6 linked regions of the Danio rerio genome follow. Each later gene encodes a partner of the first gene's protein in a complex. Links are inferred from orthologs where the notes say so. Each region holds a gene or a part of one and is shown in the gene's direction. Other genes may lie near its edges.

Evidence for each region.
Region 2: ddx39b (region 1) and chtopa share a complex: the UniProt entries of both Homo sapiens proteins name them as parts of the transcription/export (TREX) complex. The link is inferred for Danio rerio from reciprocal best matches to the Homo sapiens genes DDX39B and CHTOP.
Region 3: the proteins of ddx39b (region 1) and thoc2 are in contact, whole or in part, in a cryo-EM structure (PDB 7APK), measured with the Homo sapiens proteins. The link is inferred for Danio rerio from reciprocal best matches to the Homo sapiens genes DDX39B and THOC2. Residues at the interface, in NP_004631.1 of Homo sapiens: Leu282, Asp283, Val284, Leu285, Glu286, Phe287, Asn288, Gln310, Asn311, Phe312, Pro313, Asp335, Phe336, Gln337, Arg338, Arg339, Arg355, Ile420, Ile424, Glu425; in NP_001075019.1 of Homo sapiens: Lys550, Tyr551, Met553, Lys554, Arg555, Leu556, Thr557, Lys558, Glu559, Tyr582, Gln586, Lys589, Tyr590, Asp591, Asn592, Leu593, Pro596.
Region 4: ddx39b (region 1) and thoc3 share a complex: the UniProt entries of both Homo sapiens proteins name them as parts of the transcription/export (TREX) complex. The link is inferred for Danio rerio from reciprocal best matches to the Homo sapiens genes DDX39B and THOC3.
Region 5: ddx39b (region 1) and zgc:103692 share a complex: the UniProt entries of both Homo sapiens proteins name them as parts of the spliceosome. The link is inferred for Danio rerio from reciprocal best matches to the Homo sapiens genes DDX39B and C9orf78.
Region 6: ddx39b (region 1) and thoc7 share a complex: the UniProt entries of both Homo sapiens proteins name them as parts of the transcription/export (TREX) complex. The link is inferred for Danio rerio from reciprocal best matches to the Homo sapiens genes DDX39B and THOC7.

Annotation. Positions count from the first base shown.
Region 1 is NC_133194.1:29,766,605-29,770,104, forward strand, and holds part of ddx39b (DEAD (Asp-Glu-Ala-Asp) box polypeptide 39B), read left to right. Parts: intron 1-317; exon of another isoform or gene 318-1,367; coding exon 1,368-1,499; intron 1,500-3,500. UniProt on the Homo sapiens protein: Involved in nuclear export of spliced and unspliced mRNA. Component of the TREX complex which is thought to couple mRNA transcription, processing and nuclear export, and specifically associates with spliced mRNA and not with unspliced pre-mRNA.
Region 2 is NC_133194.1:26,321,443-26,324,942, reverse strand, and holds part of chtopa (chromatin target of PRMT1a), read left to right. Parts: intron 1-604; coding exon 605-755; intron 756-2,813; coding exon 2,814-2,958; intron 2,959-3,500. UniProt on the Homo sapiens protein: Plays an important role in the ligand-dependent activation of estrogen receptor target genes. May play a role in the silencing of fetal globin genes.
Region 3 is NC_133189.1:13,039,634-13,043,133, forward strand, and holds part of thoc2 (THO complex subunit 2), read left to right. Parts: intron 1-2,908; coding exon 2,909-3,037; intron 3,038-3,378; coding exon 3,379-3,445; intron 3,446-3,500. UniProt on the Homo sapiens protein: Component of the THO subcomplex of the TREX complex which is thought to couple mRNA transcription, processing and nuclear export, and which specifically associates with spliced mRNA and not with unspliced pre-mRNA.
Region 4 is NC_133189.1:29,781,857-29,784,838, forward strand, and holds the end of thoc3 (THO complex subunit 3), read left to right. Parts: intron 1-112; coding exon 113-274; intron 275-1,657; coding exon 1,658-1,758; intron 1,759-1,828; coding exon 1,829-1,992; 3' UTR 1,993-2,482; downstream 2,483-2,982. UniProt on the Homo sapiens protein: Component of the THO subcomplex of the TREX complex which is thought to couple mRNA transcription, processing and nuclear export, and which specifically associates with spliced mRNA and not with unspliced pre-mRNA.
Region 5 is NC_133180.1:33,917,012-33,921,042, reverse strand, and holds zgc:103692 (telomere length and silencing protein 1 homolog), read left to right. Parts: upstream 1-1,231; 5' UTR 1,232-1,316; coding exon 1,317-1,396; intron 1,397-1,582; coding exon 1,583-1,642; intron 1,643-1,758; coding exon 1,759-1,810; intron 1,811-1,932; coding exon 1,933-2,003; intron 2,004-2,084; coding exon 2,085-2,162; intron 2,163-2,255; coding exon 2,256-2,453; intron 2,454-2,572; coding exon 2,573-2,709; intron 2,710-3,469; coding exon 3,470-3,568; intron 3,569-3,663; coding exon 3,664-3,758; 3' UTR 3,759-3,909; downstream 3,910-4,031. UniProt on the Homo sapiens protein: Plays a role in pre-mRNA splicing by promoting usage of the upstream 3'-splice site at alternative NAGNAG splice sites; these are sites featuring alternative acceptor motifs separated by only a few nucleotides. May also modulate exon inclusion events.
Region 6 is NC_133186.1:21,694,329-21,698,295, forward strand, and holds the start of thoc7 (THO complex subunit 7 homolog), read left to right. Parts: upstream 1-1,167; 5' UTR 1,168-1,198; coding exon 1,199-1,217; intron 1,218-1,834; coding exon 1,835-1,955; intron 1,956-2,088; coding exon 2,089-2,216; intron 2,217-3,967. UniProt on the Homo sapiens protein: Component of the THO subcomplex of the TREX complex which is thought to couple mRNA transcription, processing and nuclear export, and which specifically associates with spliced mRNA and not with unspliced pre-mRNA.

The DNA of each region.
Region 1 (3,500 bases):
GATACTTTTTGAACGATTCGACAAGAACTGCTCTTACTCGGGGAGGTGCTCGCAGATCACCCACTGACTGCCTGGAGCTCAGATGTGCACTTATGCTGCAGTACATGCCAGAATCTGTGTGTGATCACGTGATGTGCGTTTTCGGCAGTATAGTGTGGACGGAGAACTTTTCAGAGATGCCAGTGGATGTGAATCGTCTCCGTTCTAAAACGGCATTTTAAAAGTAAAACATTCTAGTGTTAACGGGCCTGAAAGTCCTGCAATGGGTGTGACAGACAAAGGGACATCCAAAACATGCAGTGCTGATGGCCCTCCAGGAACGTGGTTGAGAAACACCCTATTAAGTGACTAATTGTTTTCATAACATGCATTTACATGGTAGACTGTGAATTTTGACTCGTGCTGAGTAAAAAAAGCTATGAATTCTAATGTGAATGTGTATAATGTTAAAACAAGTTCTTTGCTGAGTGCTAAGCAGATCGTAAGCAAATTTACAATCGGGGAAAAAATGAACAAATTCATATAAATAAGGCACCAATTTGAAAAATGTAAAAAAGTTACAAATTGCAGTGAAGTTATGTGGAGTGACATAGGTTACATCAACCAAAAGAAGTTTGTAGAGGCAAGTTATATTTTGTTGTGTGAAAGAACGTACTGATGAATGATGCACAATAAGAACAGGAATGTATACTTAAAGCAAATCGGGTGAGTTTTGATTTCATGTTGACTTTAGTACTCATATCTCCATACTACATATATTTTAAAGTCAGTTCCAAACTCCACATCGATAACTAGTTTGACTTTGCATTCTGTGGAGGATGTGTAGTTTTGGAACATATATTCAGAAATAGCACAGATATGATTTCAGGCTTGATATAGCTAAAAGTAGTCTAGGACAGCCTGGTAGCATTTATCAACGCATAGAGACAGTGTGTGTGTTGTGTCCTGTCCTGTGTCCTCATTGGCTTGGGATGGGAGGGGAGGGTAAATCTAACCCCCATCCCTTCTCTTCCCTCCCTTTCTCCTGCTTTTTCATAAATCTCCTTTCTAACACCATCTTCTCCCTCTCGTTGTCACATCCTCCCCCCTCTGCTGTCCTTTGCTAAAATCGTTATACTTCTTTTGTCCTTGTTTTTCTTTGTGTTCTGGTGTTCTTTCTTTCCCTGTCCCCCATTGACACCCATGCCATCACGTTGTCATAAATACCACTTCCTCTTTCACACCCTTGTAACATAATTATCTGCTCCACCCATGTCTTGTCAAATTTCCTGTACGCATCGTCACACAATCTTAACCCCGTGAACCTGCACACTCCTCTTCCACCCCTCCTCACCTTCCTCCCTCCTGCTTCCACTGGTTGTCCTTAGCCGATGGAAATTTTTGTGGACGACGAGACCAAGTTGACACTTCACGGCCTCCAGCAGTACTACGTCAAGCTGAAGGACAACGAGAAGAACAGGAAGCTCTTTGATCTCCTGGATGTGTTGGAGTTCAACCAGGTATCTTGAGAGTCCACAAGGACACACGCAAATGTCTTGCGCCAGTGTTTCTCAACCATGTTCTTGGAGGACCACCAACACTGCATGTTATGGATGTCTCTCTTGTCTGTCCATTTCTGGTCTTTCAGTCTCTGCTAATGAGCTTATGATCTGATTCAGGTGTGTTTGGTTAAGGAGACATCGGCTGCGTTGACATACTTCTATACAATATAGTACGCTAAAATCAGTATGCGAGCCGAGTAGTATGTCCGAATTTATAGAATTTGAAAATCAGTATGCGATGACCTACTACTTCCTGCGAGATTTGGATGGATGCTACGCTATCCCATGATGCCCCACGAGAAAGTTTATGAATGGGAGAGAAGTGACGCAACTCACGTGATCATGACAAAATAGCGAATGTAGTACTTCCGAGTTCTAACTACTGACATTCATACTGTACAATCTACTTTTCTAATTGCTGAGTAGTACGTATAAGCTAAAATGCAGTACCTACCGAGTAGTAGGCGGTTTCAGGGATAGCCATGGAAAAGTGCAGAGCTGCTGGTCCTCCACTTATGTGGTTGAGAAGCATGGTGACCATGTATTTATATGATTTTCAGTGATTCAATCACAAGTGGTCTGAGAAAACACATTGGTATTACATTCTTTCTGTTGTGGTCATTCGTGATAGGATTTTTAGGAACTTTTCCTGTTTATTTGACTTTTTGTATCACTTTAGTGGGAACATTCAGTGTGAAAAAATATTATTGAATAAATGAAGTTGTGTTTTCTGGTAAACAAGAGAATAAATACCTTGGTACTGTGCAGTGAAGCATAGATATCTTGTTTTGGTGTGTTTACTCACCATTACATTTATTAGTCAGTAGCTGGTCTAATGTGATCTTTCAAATGCAATTGCCCATATGGGATGATCACATTGCTAAACAATGATAGTTATTATTTTTAAAAACTGTTAAAATGCATATTTGTCTACCTTTAAAAGTAGACAAGCTTAAAATAATTTAACCCCCATTTACACCTACTCGAAAGTGTCAACCGTTTGTGATCAGATTCAAAACAATGCATCTTAGGCCCTGTTCACACCTGGTATTAAGATTTGTTTTTGTCGATCTGATCACAAGTGGACAAAGCAGACATATTATCGTTTAGACCTGCCATTTAAATGTGTCTCTTCTGTCAACTTTTGATCATTTCTGTCCTGATTTTATTGAGGGGAGATATTATGTGTGGGTCCCGATGCTTGTTGGTGTGCAATAATATTACATCAGAACCTAGCTCTTAAAGTTGTTGTTAAGCTTAAAGATGCTGCACAAAACAATGTGCATGTTTAGTTTTTTTTTTTTATTTTGAGTGGATGAAATGCTCGTGCAACTAAAGGCTGTTTTATACTTCTGTGTCGAGAATTTGGTGTGACCCACGGTGCCTGCCTTGCGTATAGTCGTGCATTTATACTTCTGCGAACTGTTTGTGTTTTATTGCAATAACACTTCCAAAGCGCTAGCTGGCAATAGGTTTTTATGTGCTTCTGTGTTGTATTTCTTTGCTAGTGTTCCATATTTTTTTTAATTCTACCTTAATGTACAAGTAGCTAAAACTCGCTCGTTCAGAAGTGGTAACCGGCGCATGTGCAGCAACATTATGTATAGGGTAAACACAAAACAAAAGTTTCCATTTGAAGCTCCTTCACAGGACTCGACACTTGTAAACACTCACTTCAACGGGTTTGCGCAGCTCTTGAACCAGCCCACACTCAGCACAGCTACCAAGCCAACCAATCACAAAGTTTGCGCTACGCATTGTTGGAAAATTTTTGAGAGGTGGCTGGAGTATACACGTGCGCTTGGCACAGAAGTACATATCAGCCTTAAGACATCATCAGATAATAAGATAATTGAGAAAAACGAGGAGAGCAGTTGCTTTCCGTTTCACACAAAGCTGACGTGTCCGGCCATTGAGCGGACAGAGGGCAGTGTTTAGAGGCTGTTCAACTACATGAGC
Region 2 (3,500 bases), about 3.4 Mb from region 1:
CTAATGTTTTAACGCATCTTAGCATTTTACAGCAATGTTTTGCGAGAGAGTAGTATAAAGATGGTACAAAGTAGCACTTATTTTTAACACTATTAAATGCTACAAGATCCTCTAAATTAAATCATATTGGTCTGTAATATGAATGTGTGTTGGATTTTAGTCTTGACAGACATCGATCAAGCCATGTAGCCTATTGCATTAGCTGCCTCTTGTGGCATTGACAGATTGATGCTTATTTCAACTCTTCATTCTATAATTTCAGTGTTTAGGATCTTTAAAAGGGTTCTATTCCGGACTAATGTGGATGTAGCCTCTATCGCTCTTCTGTCATCCCTCTTTGCTTAAAACCATATTCCAAGCATTCAGTTTAACCCAAACTGCTGATTTGTTGGGGTGTCTCTACATGTAACAGAGAGAGAGAGTAAATGACAGCACATGTGGTCTATTCAGGCCATTACTAGATTGCTACAGGATCCACTGTAGCTGCGTCCATGCTGTGCGAAATGATTTGATTTGGAACCATCCTTTCCTCGTATCCCCCTTTCCCTCTTCCTTCTTTCTGTCTCTCTCTGTCTACCCTCCTCCTCCTGTTGTGTCCTAAAAGCTTTACAAACATGCTGAAGAACAAGCAGCCGACAGTGAGTAGCATCCGGGCGACCATGCAGCAACAGCACATGGCCAGTGCACACAACCGCCTCCTTGCTCAGCAGATGGAGAACAGGCCCTCTGTGCAGGCTGCACTTCATCACAAACAGGTAAGAGGACAAAAAGTGCAAACCACCGGAAATGGTAGAGATGTCAATGTCATGGTACACAAAGAAAAGTGTTGAATTTACAGAAATGTTATGATAGTTGTATTTATTCTGTTCTTGGTTTTGGTTTAATATAAAGGTTTGTGTACATTTTTGCTTTTGCTTACCATCAGTATTTTGACACCAATGAAACCAGCAGCTCTACATTTCTCTTGCTCTGTGTATCATTCTTCGTTATTAGCAAGGTGTAGCTGCCTAGACCATTTTATGCCAACAAGTCATGTTTTACTGTTTATTCAGCAGTTCCACTAGTGTGAAAAAAAGCAACAAACTCATTGGTTGACCTATTTTTAATGCTGCGCATCAAAAAGAAAGAAAAAAAAACGTTCATGCATATGTGTAGTCATTATAAGTTTTCCTGAATTATTAGCTCGTTTGTATGTTTTTTTGCCACATACAACGACGACAAGCTGAAAAAAAAAACGTTGCTGTCACTAAGTTTTATTTATGGAGAATTCCATAAATATTCCAAAGCACTACAGTGTTTGAGTGTTCTGTGTTTGTCTGAGGTAATTAGTCTACCAAAAATATATATATATGTAATGTAATGTGTAGTTGTATCGCGCATTTATTGTGTATGGCCGTACACCCAAAGCACTTCACAATCATTAGGGGGATCTCTCCACACCACCACCAGTGTGCAGCATCCACTTGGATGATGCGACGGCAGCCACAGGACAACGGCGCCAGTGCGGTCACCACATACCAGTTATTGGTGGAGTGAAGAGACAGTGATAGAGCCAATTCAGTAGATGGGGATGATTGGGAGGCCATGATCGTAAGGGCCGATTGAGGAACTTTGGCCAGGACAACGTGGTTACACCCCTGCTCTTTACGAGAAGTGCCATGGGATTTTTAATGACCACAGAGAGTCAGGACCTCGGTTTAACGTCTCATCCGAAAGACAGTGCCCACTGACAGTGTTGTGTCCCCTTCACTTTTACTATGGCATTAGGACTCACACAGACCACAGGTTGAGCGCCCCCTGCTGGCCTCACTAACACCACTTCCAACAGGAACCTAGTTTTCCCTAGTGGTCTCTCATTCAGGTACTGACCAGGCTCAGCCCTGCTTAGCTTCAGTGAGTAACCGGTCTTGGGCTGCAGGGTGATATGGCTCCATCCAAGCTGAATTTCATCAGTCAGTTCTTATCACGTGACTCGTGGTGTGCTCACTGCATTGATTCAACTGAGTGCGTCTGGAAGAAGAGAGCTTCACGCCCCTTGGGCGTGCAAGCTGAGCAACTTCATTGGAAATAACGTGATGTGCGAATGACCCCTGAAAGGCTGCCGTCATTTGCAATCTTTAGCAGTTGATCTCCTTGCACAGACATGGTAGATTCACCTGATTTGATGACAAATAGGTTGTGGATTCATTCCTTGGCATATCATAGTCCTTCTGTTGGCATTTTCCACTCAGTAAAGAAACTTTCCAAAGACGTGTTTCTTACTCATTTTGCTGCTTGTGGGTTAAATTTGGGCGCTCAAGTGACTAAGATGTAAGCGAGAGAACACAGTCATTTTTCTAAATAAAACATAGTCTAGACTCAGATAATAAATAAAATGGAAATAGTTAATGATTGCGGCCTGGTACCAATAGATCCACTGGCCACTACTGGTCCACAGCCCTGTGATTGAGAACTGCTGTAGACAATAGAAAACAAATATTGGTGCTAATAATATACACCTCAAAATGGTTAAAAATATTAAAAATAATTTTATTCTAGCCAAAATAAAATAAGACTTTCTCCACAAGAAAAAAATATTATAGGAAATACTGTGGAAAAATCCCTTGCTTGGTTAAACATCATTTGGGAAATGTTTGAAAAAGAAAAAAAAATCACAGGAGGGCTAATAATTTTGACTTCAGCTATAATTTTTTCTGTATCCTTTAATACATTTTATATTAATACAATATCAATATGAATTATTATTTGTTGCTTGCTTAGCGTTTTTTACAAAGTCCGCACAGAGATGCAATATTTTTTATATCCCACTGTAGAGCCTGAAGCAGCGTCTTGGAAAGAGCAACATCCAGGCCAGACTGGGTCGACCCATTGGCTCCTTGATGCAGGGTGGTGGAAGAGGACGAGGATTACGAGGAAGAGCTAGAGGTGGTACCATGAGAGGAGCACTCTCGTTTAGAGGTGAAAGTCTTTTCATGACCCTAATGTTTTTTTTTTTCTTTTGTGACTGCTGTCTTGCGTTCACTTAAAAGCCACAGATCCTCATTATACATGTATGTAGACTCACTGAAGTTTTAAATTCAGAGATGAATTTGTCTTTCCTTCACTGGAAGTGCAGTGTCAGCTTTGTAATCGTTCTTTGTTTTACAGTTAACTCTTTTAAGACGCTGTCACACTTGAGCCTGTTTTATACTGCAGGGTCAAGTTGTGTACCCAACCATGCACTTTGCCACCGCTGTTTTAAACATATTTCTGTTTTTTGTCTGTGCTGCTCTAGCAATAACAATTCAAATACACTAGCTGTCAGTGGGTTTCGCTGTCAATTTTTTGTTTTGAGATTACACCAAAAATGCTTGTGGTTGTACTGTAGCAGAAAGTCAAAGCCAGACTCATCCATAGATAAGAGACGTTTCTGTGAACGTTCAACTACTTTATTCATAAAATAAATTAGGGCTGCACGATATTGGAAAAAATTGACATTGCGATATTTTTTTCCCCTGCGA
Region 3 (3,500 bases), on another chromosome or scaffold:
TTTAAATGACAGAGTATTAAGTGATTTTAATAAACTTGAAAAATGCTACTACTTAATTATATACACACAAATACAGAAGAAAGTCATTGTTAATAGTAAGAAATGTTTCTTGAGCAGCAAATCAGCATATTATAGTAATCGTGTGCTACTGGTAGCACACGATAACTACAATATGCTGATTTTTGAGTAAGGGCTGCGATGCATTGTGAACACCTTTGCAGTGAGGCATTAATTTGAGGTGGTAACAATATGACTTATCCGATATCAGTTAGAACAGAACAGAAAAGGTCTCCAGTTACTGTACATTACAGTTTGGTAGTGAGAACCCAACAAAAAATGTATCGGTTGGGTTCCAGTCAGGTGAATTTGGAGGTCAAGGCATTAATAGATATAGTGTTGTAAAGTATGGCTTTTCAACCTGAGAGAATTCAGAGTGTACACTGGCAAAATAAGTGACAGTGGAGGATGATTTACAGTTCGGGTTTACATGTAGATGCAAGTGAAATTACACAATTTTGGTGTGGCATATGGCCTAAAAGGTTTGGAATCCTTAATGTAAAGTATTAGAGTACATGTAATAGGTTATTTTACTTAAGTATATTTTGGGTTACTTTGTACTGAGTATTAAAGTTAATGTGTACATCACAACATTTTTAAATATTTTGTATTGAACATTTTGTATTTTTTTACTCCACTACATTTGTAAATATTTTGAATGGCATCTAACTTTTAGTTAGAGTTTGTCTGAATCAGGTGTGTTTGACAGACATACAAAATGTGCAAAATATTACAGTTCGTCTGAAACCACATACTTGCCTACATTATTGAATCTTTTATATATATATATGAGCAATATCACACGAGTAGCAGATAAGGCTGTACATAGGCACTGGTGGGAGGCATGTGTCTTACTCTCCCACCAGTGACGATGTACAGCCACATCGCACTACTATGAGTTACAACAGCTCGACAGCATAATCGTGTATATAAAACAGCAAATCAAGTCTAAATATCCTTTTGTAAGGGGAACTACTTTCTTCCGCCATTCCTTCACATCAGCAGCTGACATCAGAACAGCCGTTTACTAATTCACCAACGTCACTTTAGAGCTAGTTTTTGAATGATTCTCTAGCGTAATGTCTAAGGGGATGACAAAACATGATTTAGCTCACATTTTAAGATTATAAGGATGAAAAGCATAAAAGGCCATCGGTCTAGTTTTAGAGACATTTGCCAGTTTTTTTAGGTTGCAAAAGGGAGATCACAATAATTAACCTTGCAAAAGCCAAAGCAACGCAATCACTACCAGATTATTGTTGTGTTTGCGATAAGGAGAAAAGCTAACAAATGCAGCAATTTCTTTCTTGTAACTAGTCTGCAGTAACAAAAACAGGAGACTCATTAAAAACAAACAGATTGCCAACCAAAAAGTAACTTGGGGTTATACGAAGAGTGGCCAACACAAAATTGCATACATTTCTGATATGTGAGTCCCATCACACTCAATCTACTGCAATTACTATGGTATAAATAGAGCACCGCAACATAAAAAAAGAGAGAGATTGACTTAGAATGTCACTCACTAATTTTAGAAAGTTTTGATCAGCTGTAGTTTGAAAATATGCTGATCTTTCCTCCTCTAAGGAGTTATGTGGTCTCTGTTGCCATCTTATGGATGGACAATGTCAACCATTTTTGCTCACTCAATGACAGACTGATGGATGCCGACATGACATGGCTTTTAGCCAATGAGATTCAAGAATCAGAACTGTTGAATAAATATATGTATATGTATGTATGTCTGTGAGCATGAGCGGAGTAGTATGTTCATACTTAATATTATTGAAAGAAAAAAAAAAAAGTAGCCAAAATGTACCTTTGAATCCCAAGTCCAACTCTCTAACCATTAAGCCACAACTGCCGCTGATAAATATTGGATGTTATTCTGTTATACTGCAATAAAGATATTTCCAGAAAGCTGGAAACCTGTAACCTTTGGCTTTCATTTTTTTTCTGTTTCTAGGGAGATCACTGGTTACAGGTTTTCAGCTTTCTTCACAATAGCTTTAATGTTCATCAGAATAATAAAACTAATTAAGGTTTAGAACCACTTGAGGGTAAATAGTAAGTTTCTTTTCTTTTTTTTTGGTGAATTATGCCTACGGTTCTAAAAGTGTGTGATTGTCCTGTGGCCATGATAGCACTTGGTCTGTGATGTTCACATAGTTGTGGTGTTGTAATTAGGCATGGGATGATGGTTTGGAAAGGTCAAGGTTTTAAAACCTTTATTATGTTCTGTTGTACAGTTCCTACAGAATATGTTGTTATTGTTTTTCTAGTTTGCAGATTTTCTGAAGATATACGTTTTATTCTTGGGGAGCACTGAAATGTTACATTAAGATACTGCTCAGTTAATCATGTTAGAAGAGATCAGGTGTTTTTTTTTGTGCCCATAACCCTAAAGGCCATTTGGATGAAGCTAATTTATCAAGCTGCAGCATTTTATACATGTTTATTAAATACCACTTTTTATTGAAAGTCACTGATTACTAAAGAATAATAACTTGATGCATTCATAGATGGTAGTAGCAGCGTTGTTGTGTAAAACCAAATGGTTGACAGATTGTTTTTTGATTTTATGCTAGCTAGCACAATTCTTGAACACTTTTCACATGCAGTTTTTTGGCGCATTGTAGCTCTGATGTGAGTCATATGAAATAATTGCATATGTAAGTTCAGCAGGGGCCTTGAGCTTTTAATAGAGTGCTTGGACTTCCTGTCGGTGTGTCAGATTGTCAGGTGCAACTCTAATGGGGCATGCTAATGAAAGGCAGCAGGCCACTGTGAGGGCTAGTGTGCTCCATCTGTAAGACATTAACCTTCTATCATCTTTGCATCTGTCCTTTAGCACCATCCTAACCACACCACAGTCCTGTCCAAGATCAAAGAGAAGGATGATGAGAAGAAAGAGTCTGATAAATCCAGGGACCGCTCCAAAGAGAGGGAAAAGAAAGAAGACCGGAAGGACCGAAAACGAGTAAGTCCTCTGTATTGGAGGAAGCAGTTTTTAAGCATCACAAATGTTATTGAGCAGGACATTTTACAAGGCTTAAACCAACAAATTCTCAATAAAGCCTTTTGCTGAATCATGCTTTGTGATTGAAGCAAAACATTGCAAATCCCACTTGTGAAAGCTTAATTCACACTTAAATACATTATTTAAATTACTTGACCTTCATGCTCATGCACCAGCATATTTCTTTCATTGGTCCAGATGCCATATCATTCCCTCATGTTTTAAGAGTTTTACAGCAGTTATTAGTATGCCTAAAAAGCACTATTTTAAGTTGTGCTGTCTTTCTCCCTTCACGCTTATAGGACTACTTGAACAGCGATCGCGAGATGAGCCAGGAAGCCAAACGCCGCAAAGATGAAAATGGAATGAGTAAGCCTATCTTTTAAATTTGTTTTGCCTGCTGCCAAGAGCACGAGAGCTAGCG
Region 4 (2,982 bases), on another chromosome or scaffold:
TATATATATATATATATATATATATATATATATATATATATATATGTATATGTGTGTATATATATGTGTGTATATATATATTTGTCAATCATATGTCATGACTCTGTTACAGTTACCCTGAACTGAAGCTCATCCAGTCAATTAATGCCCATCCATCCAACTGCATCTGCATTAAGTTTGATCCGACTGGGAAGTATTTTGCCACTGGAAGTGCAGATGCCCTGGTCAGCCTGTGGAACGTGGAGGAGCTGGTGTGTGTGCGATGCTTCTCAAGGTCAGTTTTGACTTTTTTAGATTATATATAAATAAAAATGTACATTTTTTTTTTTTTATAACTTTGAATTATCTCACAGTGTTTAAATTTAAATTTTATATTAAAGTTATAGAACATTATACAACAAAGCTAAATATAAGTTTTGTAGTTTTAAGACCAAATTTCAGTTGACTGTCTCAAATGAGTGACTTCCCTTTTTAATAATGAATAAGCTAACAAATAGTAAATTTTTATTTAATTAAATATTTAATTTTATTTTTTTTAAATTGACTTAATTTATATTTCTATGTTTGACTGATCTCATAACATTTACTCTTTATTTAGCTTTTTTTACGTTTTAAAATTTTAAATTATAGTTACAATAAAAACTAAAATGAAACTAAATGGGTTAAACTGCAGAATTTACTAATAATGAAATTTAAAAATAACAACAGTTAATAAAATTCTAAAAACTAGATTTTATGTCAGTGAAAATATTTATTTTTAATTATTAATAAGTAGTGTATTTAAATGTGCCATATTCTGCATTGGTTTAATAAGTTAAATTGTTCTCTGATATCTACATTGTAGGTTTATGGCTTTGGTAAGTTAAAAAATAAATCTCTAGAAATGATTTATTAAGCTAATTCATTAATCCATACAAATTCCCATAGAATCAGAAGGTCCATGATTGACCATATATGGTTCATCTTGTGAATATTAATGAGCTCCGCTGCACCTAGAGACACACACACACAGCATAATGTACAGTACGCTGAACATGGAGAAATATAAACCCAATCAGAGTAATGTTAACCTATTTTGCTCACCAGATCTGTTGTGGAAAAAGGCTAAATTATAATTAAACTTGACAAAAGAGAGTGATAGACATGTTTTGCGTTGTATTTTGAAGTTACAGTCAAAGAAAACACACCCAGGAATTAATATCAATTTGAATGACAAGTAGCTTTACATGCAAATGCGGAGGACATGGCCCATGACCCTCGTCACAGTTTGTTTTGTCTTCTGATTGGCCTGTTATCCACTGGAGTTTTACATTTGTGGAAATTCGTGGATCTTTTATTATTCTACTATGTATTGGTATACCCAGATTTTCATTAAAGGGCACCTTTAAGTGATACAAAAATAATGCTAAGATGATGTTGTAATGCATTTACTTTGTGGTTATTGCATATGGAGTTAGAAACAAAAAATATAATGAATTTTAATCTATCATCAGTATTTATCAGTTTTACATGAGCACATTTCTAAATTTTTGCAAAGCGAGAGAAAGTTTTTTTATGAACCATTCAAGTTCATTGATTAATCACACTTTTAAATTATTATGTCTCGCATAGTTTTTATTTAAATTTTCTTTAAACTATTTTGTCTTGAATCCAACAGACTGGACTGGCCTGTACGAACTCTTAGCTTCAGTCATGATGGTAAAATGCTGGCATCTGCATCAGAAGACCATTTCATTGACATAGCAGAAGTAGAGACAGGTGAGCAGATGCATCTTTACAACATGATGAAAGCTTTACTCGCATTTTACTAACCGTCTCCTGTCTGTAGGGGAGAAACTGTGGGAAATTCAGTGCGAGTCTCCAACCTTCACTGTAGCCTGGCATCCGAAGAGGCCGCTGTTAGCATATGCCTGTGACGATAAAGAGGGCAAATACGACAGCAACCGAGAAGCGGGCACCGTCAAACTCTTCGGCCTTCCCAATGATTCCTGAGGTCCGTTTACACATATTAAGATAAAATTGAGATGTTATTCGAGCAAATTAATTTTCATTAGACTTATTGTTTTAAAGTAAATTTGTAAATAGTTAAAAGATATTCTGATGTTCTGCTCTCATATTAGTTTTTGGTTTAAAGTACAGGTGTAAATAACTACTGCCTGCAGCTCCTCTGAATATGAGTTTTTATTTGTCTTTTACCAAAATATGACTGTGTGATAATACAAAAACAAAGTTTAATGTAGAATCTGTGCAGAATACTTAAAAAAAATCTTGTGATTTAGTACAGCACGCTGTTCTTGTTTTCAATAATTGACCATTGCTGTTTTTGAGAAAAATTGAGATAAAACTGTAATGCTAGTTTTAGAAATGACCAGCAGAGGGCATCACATGCTCAAAGAAAAGATGTCTCATTGCTAATACAGGCATTTTTGAATGTGTGTTTGTTTTTATAGCAATAAATTATGTACTTTATTTTTAAAATGAATACTGTTTCATATTTTTCTTGATTTTAAAAGCCACATGTTGTCTTTTTGTGTGATCAACTCCAAAATACTGTTGGAAAACAAAGCACCCTAATTTTAGCGCTTAATTGACTATTTTATGTACTCTCTGCTATAATGTAGTTTTAGTGTTTTTGTATGTGCTCAAAACATATTTATCATTTATTTGTTTATTTAGTAATTTTAGTGTGTTTTTGATCTGATTCATTTATTAATAAAAAAAAAACAACAACAGGAAAATATATCGGTTTTAATTTTAGACATCAACACTGCAAAAAAACTAGAACTTGTTTGAATTCGTCGATTGAGATAATTGTAATGGATTTTCTTAAATTAAAATAACAATGTATATAATTCACCTTTGCTAATCAGGTTAAATAAAGATAATTTTATTGGCTTGATTTACATATAAAGTGTTCAGATCAAGAAAAACATTTCAGTTTCATCTGAAACTTTCTTCTTAAATTGGCGTTTTTCTCAATTG
Region 5 (4,031 bases), on another chromosome or scaffold:
ATCAAAAAGTCAGAAACCATAAACTTTCATTAATATGAAATGATGACAAAATTATTTGATAAACTGTCCCCATAAGAACCTTACACTCTCATTACCAGTGAGAATTATAAATAAAAATCTGCCCTCATTGAATAGATATTAACGGAAATATATACCATATTATATAATATTTTTTTTATAAGTATAAAAATTTAAAAATATTTATAGAGTATTGAGGATGGTATCTATCTAGCATATCTGCTCAATGTGTGTTATGTTTCTGCCTAGAACTGTTAAGAGGCCAAAATTGCTGTTTCATTCGCCTAGTCAGTTGATGGGAAAAAAAAACATTCGTCCCGTACCAACACCTCCATTACAGCAAGGGAAATATACAATAATTGATATAAAAAAACATGATTCTATGAATCAAATTTTCACTAGAAAACTAACTTCAACTGAAGTCCGAAACGACGCAGAAAACAATCGCGTTAATATGAATGTAATGCAAACAATTCATCTGAATTAAAACATAATATCTAAAACAAAACAAATAGTTTTTCCTCTTCGTCTTCGGTGTTTATTATGTTCATAAACACACAGCAGTCCTCAAATACGTCACGGTGAACCACCTAAAAGCTGTTTAACATCACGATCTTGCAGAATAAACAGGCCATATTTCCACTCGGTCTGCAAGACACTATTCATACGCTGAGTCGACATGATGTTATCATATCAAACAACAGTGACAGTCCGATTTAGCAAAAGGAAAGACAGAAACAGATATTTACCTGTCATACAGAAACAAAAATATCGCTCATAGATAGTCATTTTAGGCCAATCGGAGGTGTTTGTAACAGTGGTGGGAAGCAGTGTAACGTTACTACTAAGCAGCATCCATACTGAATACAGCAGAAGCGTGCGTCACGGCTTTGACCACAGCCAATGAGCGCATTTCGTTCTTTAGCATGATCAAATAATTTTTTATTTACTTCGATTATAAAATACACATACTGCTTGTTTTACACGTTCATTTATCGTATAGAGTGTTTATTATTAAATTTACGCCGTTTTTGTTTTGTTTTTCTGTATCGTGTCATAGAAGCAGCTGATCTAGAACCAGTCTCATCATTCCGCTTTTCGCCGTTCAACGGCTGTACAAAAAACAGGCAAGCTGATCTGAGATCAACTGTTAAGACGACAAATGTGATGCCAGCGAGCGGAAGTTTCTAGAGAATGAGGTCCGTCACTAAACATAGACCGCCACCGTTGCGTACAGACGGACGAGGGGTAACGTAACGCTTATCAGTAAATAATTCGACGAGTTTTAAAAACAAGTCATGCCACCAGGTAAAAATTTTAGAAGAAGGAAAGAGGATTCATCCGACGAGGAAGATGATGAAACAAAATTCGTAGTCAGGTAGATATATTCAACACATTCAGGCCAAACAAAGTAAACACAGCTGTTGTAAACCGCTTGGTAAAACGAGCAGAAAAGATTAATGCAGCTGACTTGTTTAGTTTGTACATGCATTCAGAGAGGACAGAAACCTATTGAATGTGAAAAACTATTTAAAGATGTTACTTTTATTATATGTTTACCCAGGTCAAAACTGGATGAAGCCAAGGAGCTACAGAGTCTGCGAAAAAGGCAGCATGGAGTGAGGTTGGTCATGAGCTGCTTTGTGGTTGTTACTGTTGGTGGTGTTTACATTTTTCTTTCTTTTCATTGTGTAATTAAAGTGAGAATAATAAATGCTATTTTCCATTCTGTTTGTCCAGCATTGCAACGTTACTTGTTGGAGAGAAGCTTCCTTTAGAGGCTGAGCTTGAGGTGTTTTATTATTTTAATCAAACTACATTTTGCACTACAATACAAGCCTTGCAGTGTAACTTTGTTCTTCTCTATGAGCTAATAGAGGTTTGACATTTTGTCCCTCCATGTTTATGTCATAGGATGACCCATTTAAACTGAAGACTGGAGGTGTTGTTGACATGAAGAAAGTGAAAGACAGAAGCAGAGACATGTAAGAATTAAGTAAACATGTTAGCTTTTCATTTCAAGATGTCTCTATATTTGCATCTTGACACTTCCTCTTTTGTTACAGGACAGTGGATGAAAATGACCTCAATCTTGGTACATCCTTTTCTGCCGAGACAAACAGAAGAGATGAAGATGCTGACATGTAAGTGCATGCTTCTACATCACATACTCTCTGCATTGCTGGTTTTGTCACTATGTTTAAAGCCTCTCCCATCATGCATCTCATTTCACGCAGGATGAAGTACATTGAGACAGAGTTAAAGAAAAAGAAAGGCATGGTGGAGGCAGAGGAGCAGAAGGTAAAGGTGAAGAATCCAGAGGACCTCCTGTATGAGCTTCCAGAGAACATCAACGTCAGCTCTGCCAAAAAGACAGAAGAGATGTTGTCCAATCAGATGCTGAGCGGAATTCCAGAGGTGGATCTGGGGATTGAGTGAGTAAAGACACAAGCTAATTCATGGACATCAGTTATTGTTTTCTCTAGACTGGTGGCTCAGAACAAACAAATGATTGATGTCAACCTAAAAGCCTCTTTTCTCTCTTTCTTCTCAGCGCAAAGATAAAGAATATCATCAACACAGAAGAAGCCAAAGCAAAGCTGCTAGCTGAGCAGAGGAATAAGAAGAAAGACAGCGGGACCTCCTTTGTTCCCACAAACATTGCGGTCAATTACGTCCAGCATAATCGCTGTAAGTGTACACACAAACAACTGTTTGTTCAAACGTTTGTCAGTAAGATGTTTTTAAGTCTCTTATGCTCACATTTAAGGGATAGTTCATTTTTTTTCATTTGTTCTCCTTCATGTGGTTTTAAACAGTTATTAGTTTCTTTCTTTTGTTGAACCCAAAAGAAGATGTTTTGAAGAAAACTGATTGCTGGAATCCATCATCGTCAATGGCTTCTTTGTGTTTTGGTTTTGAACAAGTGAAGGCTGATTTAAATGATGGCAGAATTAAAAAACTTTTGAGTAGAAGTATCCCTTTAAAAATGTAATCTTGTGAAATATTTTTGCAGTCTGTAATTGCACTCATTTTCTTTTTTTCATAATCAGGTTTTTAAGATTATAAAAAAATGTTGTAAATTGTTCATTGTAAAGCTGAATTGTTCAGCAAACATTAGTCCAGTTCTTCACAATTCTTTCTAATACGATGATTTGGTGCCTAATTTACACATTTATCTTTCAATATTAAAAAAAACGGAAATTAATGTAAATTTCAAAAGCAGAGCATTTACTTAAAATACATTTTGTAACAAAACTGTACAAAGAAAAGGCCAATGATTGATTTCTCAAAATTGTTCACTAACCATATCTGTTTTCAAGTGTAAGCTTTTATCAACAGCTCTGTCTATGCCTAACAAATAAGTAAACAGTAAAATGTGAACCATATTTAAAACATTTGCTATCCCAAAGAAGAAAGATTAAGTCATCATCTGTTCTATTTTGTCAAGTCTACCATGAGGATTCAAACGCGCCCCAAAGACGCAACAGAGAAGAGCCTAAAGCCAGGCCATTGCGTGTAGGAGACACAGAGAAACCAGCACCTGAGGGTAAGATCAGATTGAAAACCTCTTCAGCTTTTATGCCCTGCTGTTTTTAATGTATTCATGTTCATATGATTTGGTGTATTTTTTTCGGTCTCCAGCCTCACCACCCAATTTCCGCAAGAGACCCAATAACGAGAAGGCCACAGATGACTACCACTATGAGAAATTTAAGAAAATGAACCGACGATATTAATCCTTCACTAATAATTCAGTTACCATGATGGAGTTTGTTTTTCCTTTCTGTAAACTGAAAGATGTAAATACTTTGTACTATATTTAAAAAAATGTCTCTGCTAAATATCTGTAACTTACGATAAGCTTTTTACAATAAAACTTCACCCAAATTGTTGGTAGTTTTTTGAAAATATTTTATAACAGAAAAACTTTTAGTTGCATAAATTTAGCGCATTGTTCAATTTCATAATTATATAATGATTGTAGAACAGTTCCACATAAATGCTCAATC
Region 6 (3,967 bases), on another chromosome or scaffold:
ATCAACTTTACCTCATTCTCAGTCAAGCAAATTTAAAATATTTAAATTCACATTTTAATTCATGTTGAATTATTTTCATATCTACGTAAAAAGCTTTGTATTCATAAACTGAATCATAATGGCACAAACTGAACTGACGAAGCAAAAGAAAGATGGATTTTAAAACGTCTTATTATTTCATAATATACTATGTTATATGTAGCCTATGTAGCCAGAGGGGGTTCAGAAAAAAAAACCCTTACTGACAAATGTGCAGAATTTTTCCCATTCATGAGCTCATATGTCGTATTTTGACTGCTACATGCCATCATAAATAGTAAAAATAACCAATTAAAAAGGCATAATCCTCTGTTGGCTGTTGCTTCGGTGTGACTTCAGCAAATCAGTCTTGGTCAATGCTAACAAATGTTTTTGATGATCAACATCTAGCTGTGTAGGAAATCACACAATCTGACATAAGTGACGTCATCTTTCGCTACTGTTTGTAAACAGAGAAAACGTTTTACAAGTAACTTTTGTTCTAAATCTTGGAACTTATCTTGAAACTAAAAATGAGCAATAAAAAGGGTGGCCTATAGTAAAATTGATTTGAATACTAATTAGGCTATTGTTATCCTTAATTTTCAAATGCACTTTTTAACATGTAAGGCTAGAAAATTGTAAAGCTTTTATTATTATTATTTTTTATTATTGAAATGGCCAAATTCTGACTGAAGAAATTGAATGTGCTGGCTAGATTGTTATTTGCCTAATAAATGACACTAGACAATAGTTTTTAACTTAAAACTTTTTCAGATTCCTAATGTATTTTTAAAAAGCTAAATCATGATTCATAACTGAACTGACGATATTGCTCAAACAAATTGACGAGTCTTGTGGAACCACACTTTAAAACGAACTGTTCAAATGAACCGATTCGCGAAAATGAATCTCATTTCTCAATACTGTCAAAAACTAAACTAACTACCTACTAATACAGTATTTCTGAAAGACACGCTATCAGTCGACTAGTCTAAAACGAGTTTTCAGCAAAACATTTAAATGACTTTGTAATAATAAAGTAAAAGCTAGCCGTTCAGAAAACTGTTGTGAGCTCGGCGGGTTTGCTTCGCAACAGAGGCGGGGCGCTGATGCCTTGCGTGTCCGCGCGCGCCTGACAATAAAGTTTTTTCTAACAGTCCAGTTAGCCTGCTGGAGAATGGGTAGCATTACTGATGGTAAGATTTTCCTTTGTTTTATTTTTCTTAACTATCATGTAATTGTAATTTATGTAGCAAATCTGAAGGAATTATTACAGTAGCGTACGTCCATGTTTTTATTTCCTGGAAACTAAACGAACTCCTTTGAAATGTCTACATGAGGAGTCTTAGCTAACAGTTAGTTAGCCACATGCTAAAACTGATTAACTAAAACAAGTTACAAGATGTATAAGTATAATTTATTACGCTGACTTTGGTTTTGGATAGGCATTACAGTGATATAAAATATATTGGTAAGTATAATATGTAAATACGATAATATGAAAATTTGATGGCACCCTTCTGACACTTTTCAATGTTGGATCAATCAGTTAAATCAAGCATCAAGGTTGGAAAATAAACTGATTTTTTGCTGAATTTAGAGATTTACTTTGTTTCAAAAATAATCAAGCAGAATATATATATATATATATATATATATATATATATATATATATATATATATATATATATATATATATATATATATATTGTTCCACATTTAGTCACTGAATACAATTTACAGTATAATATCTGTGCTATGCTATTTAGACCTATATTTAGACTAAATAATATCTATGTCTCCTCCCTCACAGATGAGGTTATTCGGAAGCGTCTTCTGATCGATGGAGATGGAGCTGGAGATGACAGACGCATTAATGTGCTCATGAAGAGCTTCACCAAATGGTGCCACTCCAGTTTCTCACCAGAGGAGGGGTAATTTACATTCTGGTTTAACTTTATATACCTGACTTGATAAGATTTTTTTTTTCTTTTCCTTTAAAATATTCCACTGATTAGTTACCACGACCTTGGGTGTAATTACTTTATCATTCATATGTGTCTGCAGGATGTCTCAGTATCAAAGAATGATGATGTCCTTGGCTCAGTGTGAATTCTCCATGGGGAAAACCTTGCTTGTGTACAACATGAACCTGAAAGAAATGGAGAATTATGAAGGAATCTATACCGATATTGGTAAGACTTCTTGTTGACTTCCCTGCTTTTTTCTTTTGGGTTGATTGGATTATATGCTGACAAGGGAGACACATTCCTGTTTGCACTCATTGTTTTAATCTACATCTTTTGACTATATTAAATATTACTTTGAGGGCAGGATATTAGGCATGGGCCGGTATATGTTTCTGACAATATTATAACCTTGGATAAAAATATCACGGACACATGGTATTGTGATTACTGCTCTGAATTATATTCTTTTTAAATGTCTGGGTAAAAACAAAAACTTTGAACACTATATTTTACTTTGATAAAGATTTAAAGTATTTTGGAGCAGTGAATATGCCAGGCTAAATAATTCAAAATGAATCATTGATTTCTTTCCAATTTAAAACAACCTCTTTGGATATCTTTTCTGCTGGAGATACTGTTGTTCTGAACTCTATTTATACCGTAGCAAGAGTAAAGCAGAAATTTAGGACTTTACTTTTCCAATGCGCAGTATACCTTGAAAACGGTTATCATCCCATGCCTACAGGATAAAAGGGTGGGTGTTTGTGTAAGCTTTTTCAATTATTTCTAATATCGCAAAATAACCTTGCATAATAGAAAATGATACAGAGTGCTGCAGCCTTCATTTCTGCTCTGGTGGCTACAAAACTACACCAAATTCAGATCAGTGTGTTAAATCTGTGAATTGTTTATCGTAGACTCTCTTTGATCAAATAATTTGAATCAGTGAATCATTCAAGGGAGATACTCAGACTGAAAACATCATTCAAATCAGTTATTTGTTGACTCGTAAACATGTCTATCCAATTCGCAAATTAATTGTTCAGTGCAATTTGTGAATTGATTTAACTGGCTAACTGATAAAATTCAGCTTGTTCACGAATCAAGTTGGATTCAAAAGTGCAGTATTTTGTTTTGTATTCTGATTTTCAATCAGAACTTTTCAATCTGCCTTTTATCAGTGATTTTTATGGCGAGTTCAGACTGCATGATTTTCAAAGTAGTCATGTCACAGATGTTTTCACCCTGTATGACTGTCGGGGGTAGTATTTCATCGCTGCTTTGTTTACCCTGCAAGATGGATTGGCAACGGGGGGTTCACACTGTATGATTTAGAATAGGAAGAATTGGCGACAACTTTGTCCCGGTCTACAAACTACATCTCAAAACCAAGCACAGAAGAAGTGACATGGAAATAATGTAGTATATCTTTTGTCATGAACTATATAATGAGAATAAAGCCTTTAGTGGGGTAGAAAATTTACTTATTTTGCTCACTTGGCCTTTAATAGGAATTAGCAATTTCTCCTCAACTTTTTCTTTTTCGACCCGGTTGCTCAGATGACACTTCAAACAGAAACGGGTGCTCCTGCCAAATTTACACTAGTTGTTCCTCCATTTTTTGGGGTCCAAATAGACAAAATAGAAGCACTTTTAACTTGTTCCCCAACCTCCCGCTGGCCTGCAGATTTCACACGGCATGATTTGAATCGTCGACAGATCCAGCTGTTTAGCACACTGAATATCTCACATGTGTCTACGACACATCACCGATTCTCTCCGATTGTGTCTTTGATAGTTCATACTGTGTGGTTGATACTTGCGTGAATGAGTACCTATTTGCCTGTGATTTCAGGCATTTTTTGCAATTTCTTGAAACCTGTTGTCGAGTCAAAAATCAGGGCTAAAATCATGCAGTTTGAATTTGGCATTATTTTGCTGAGTGTTCTGTATTTTTATAGTTATTATTTTTTTGT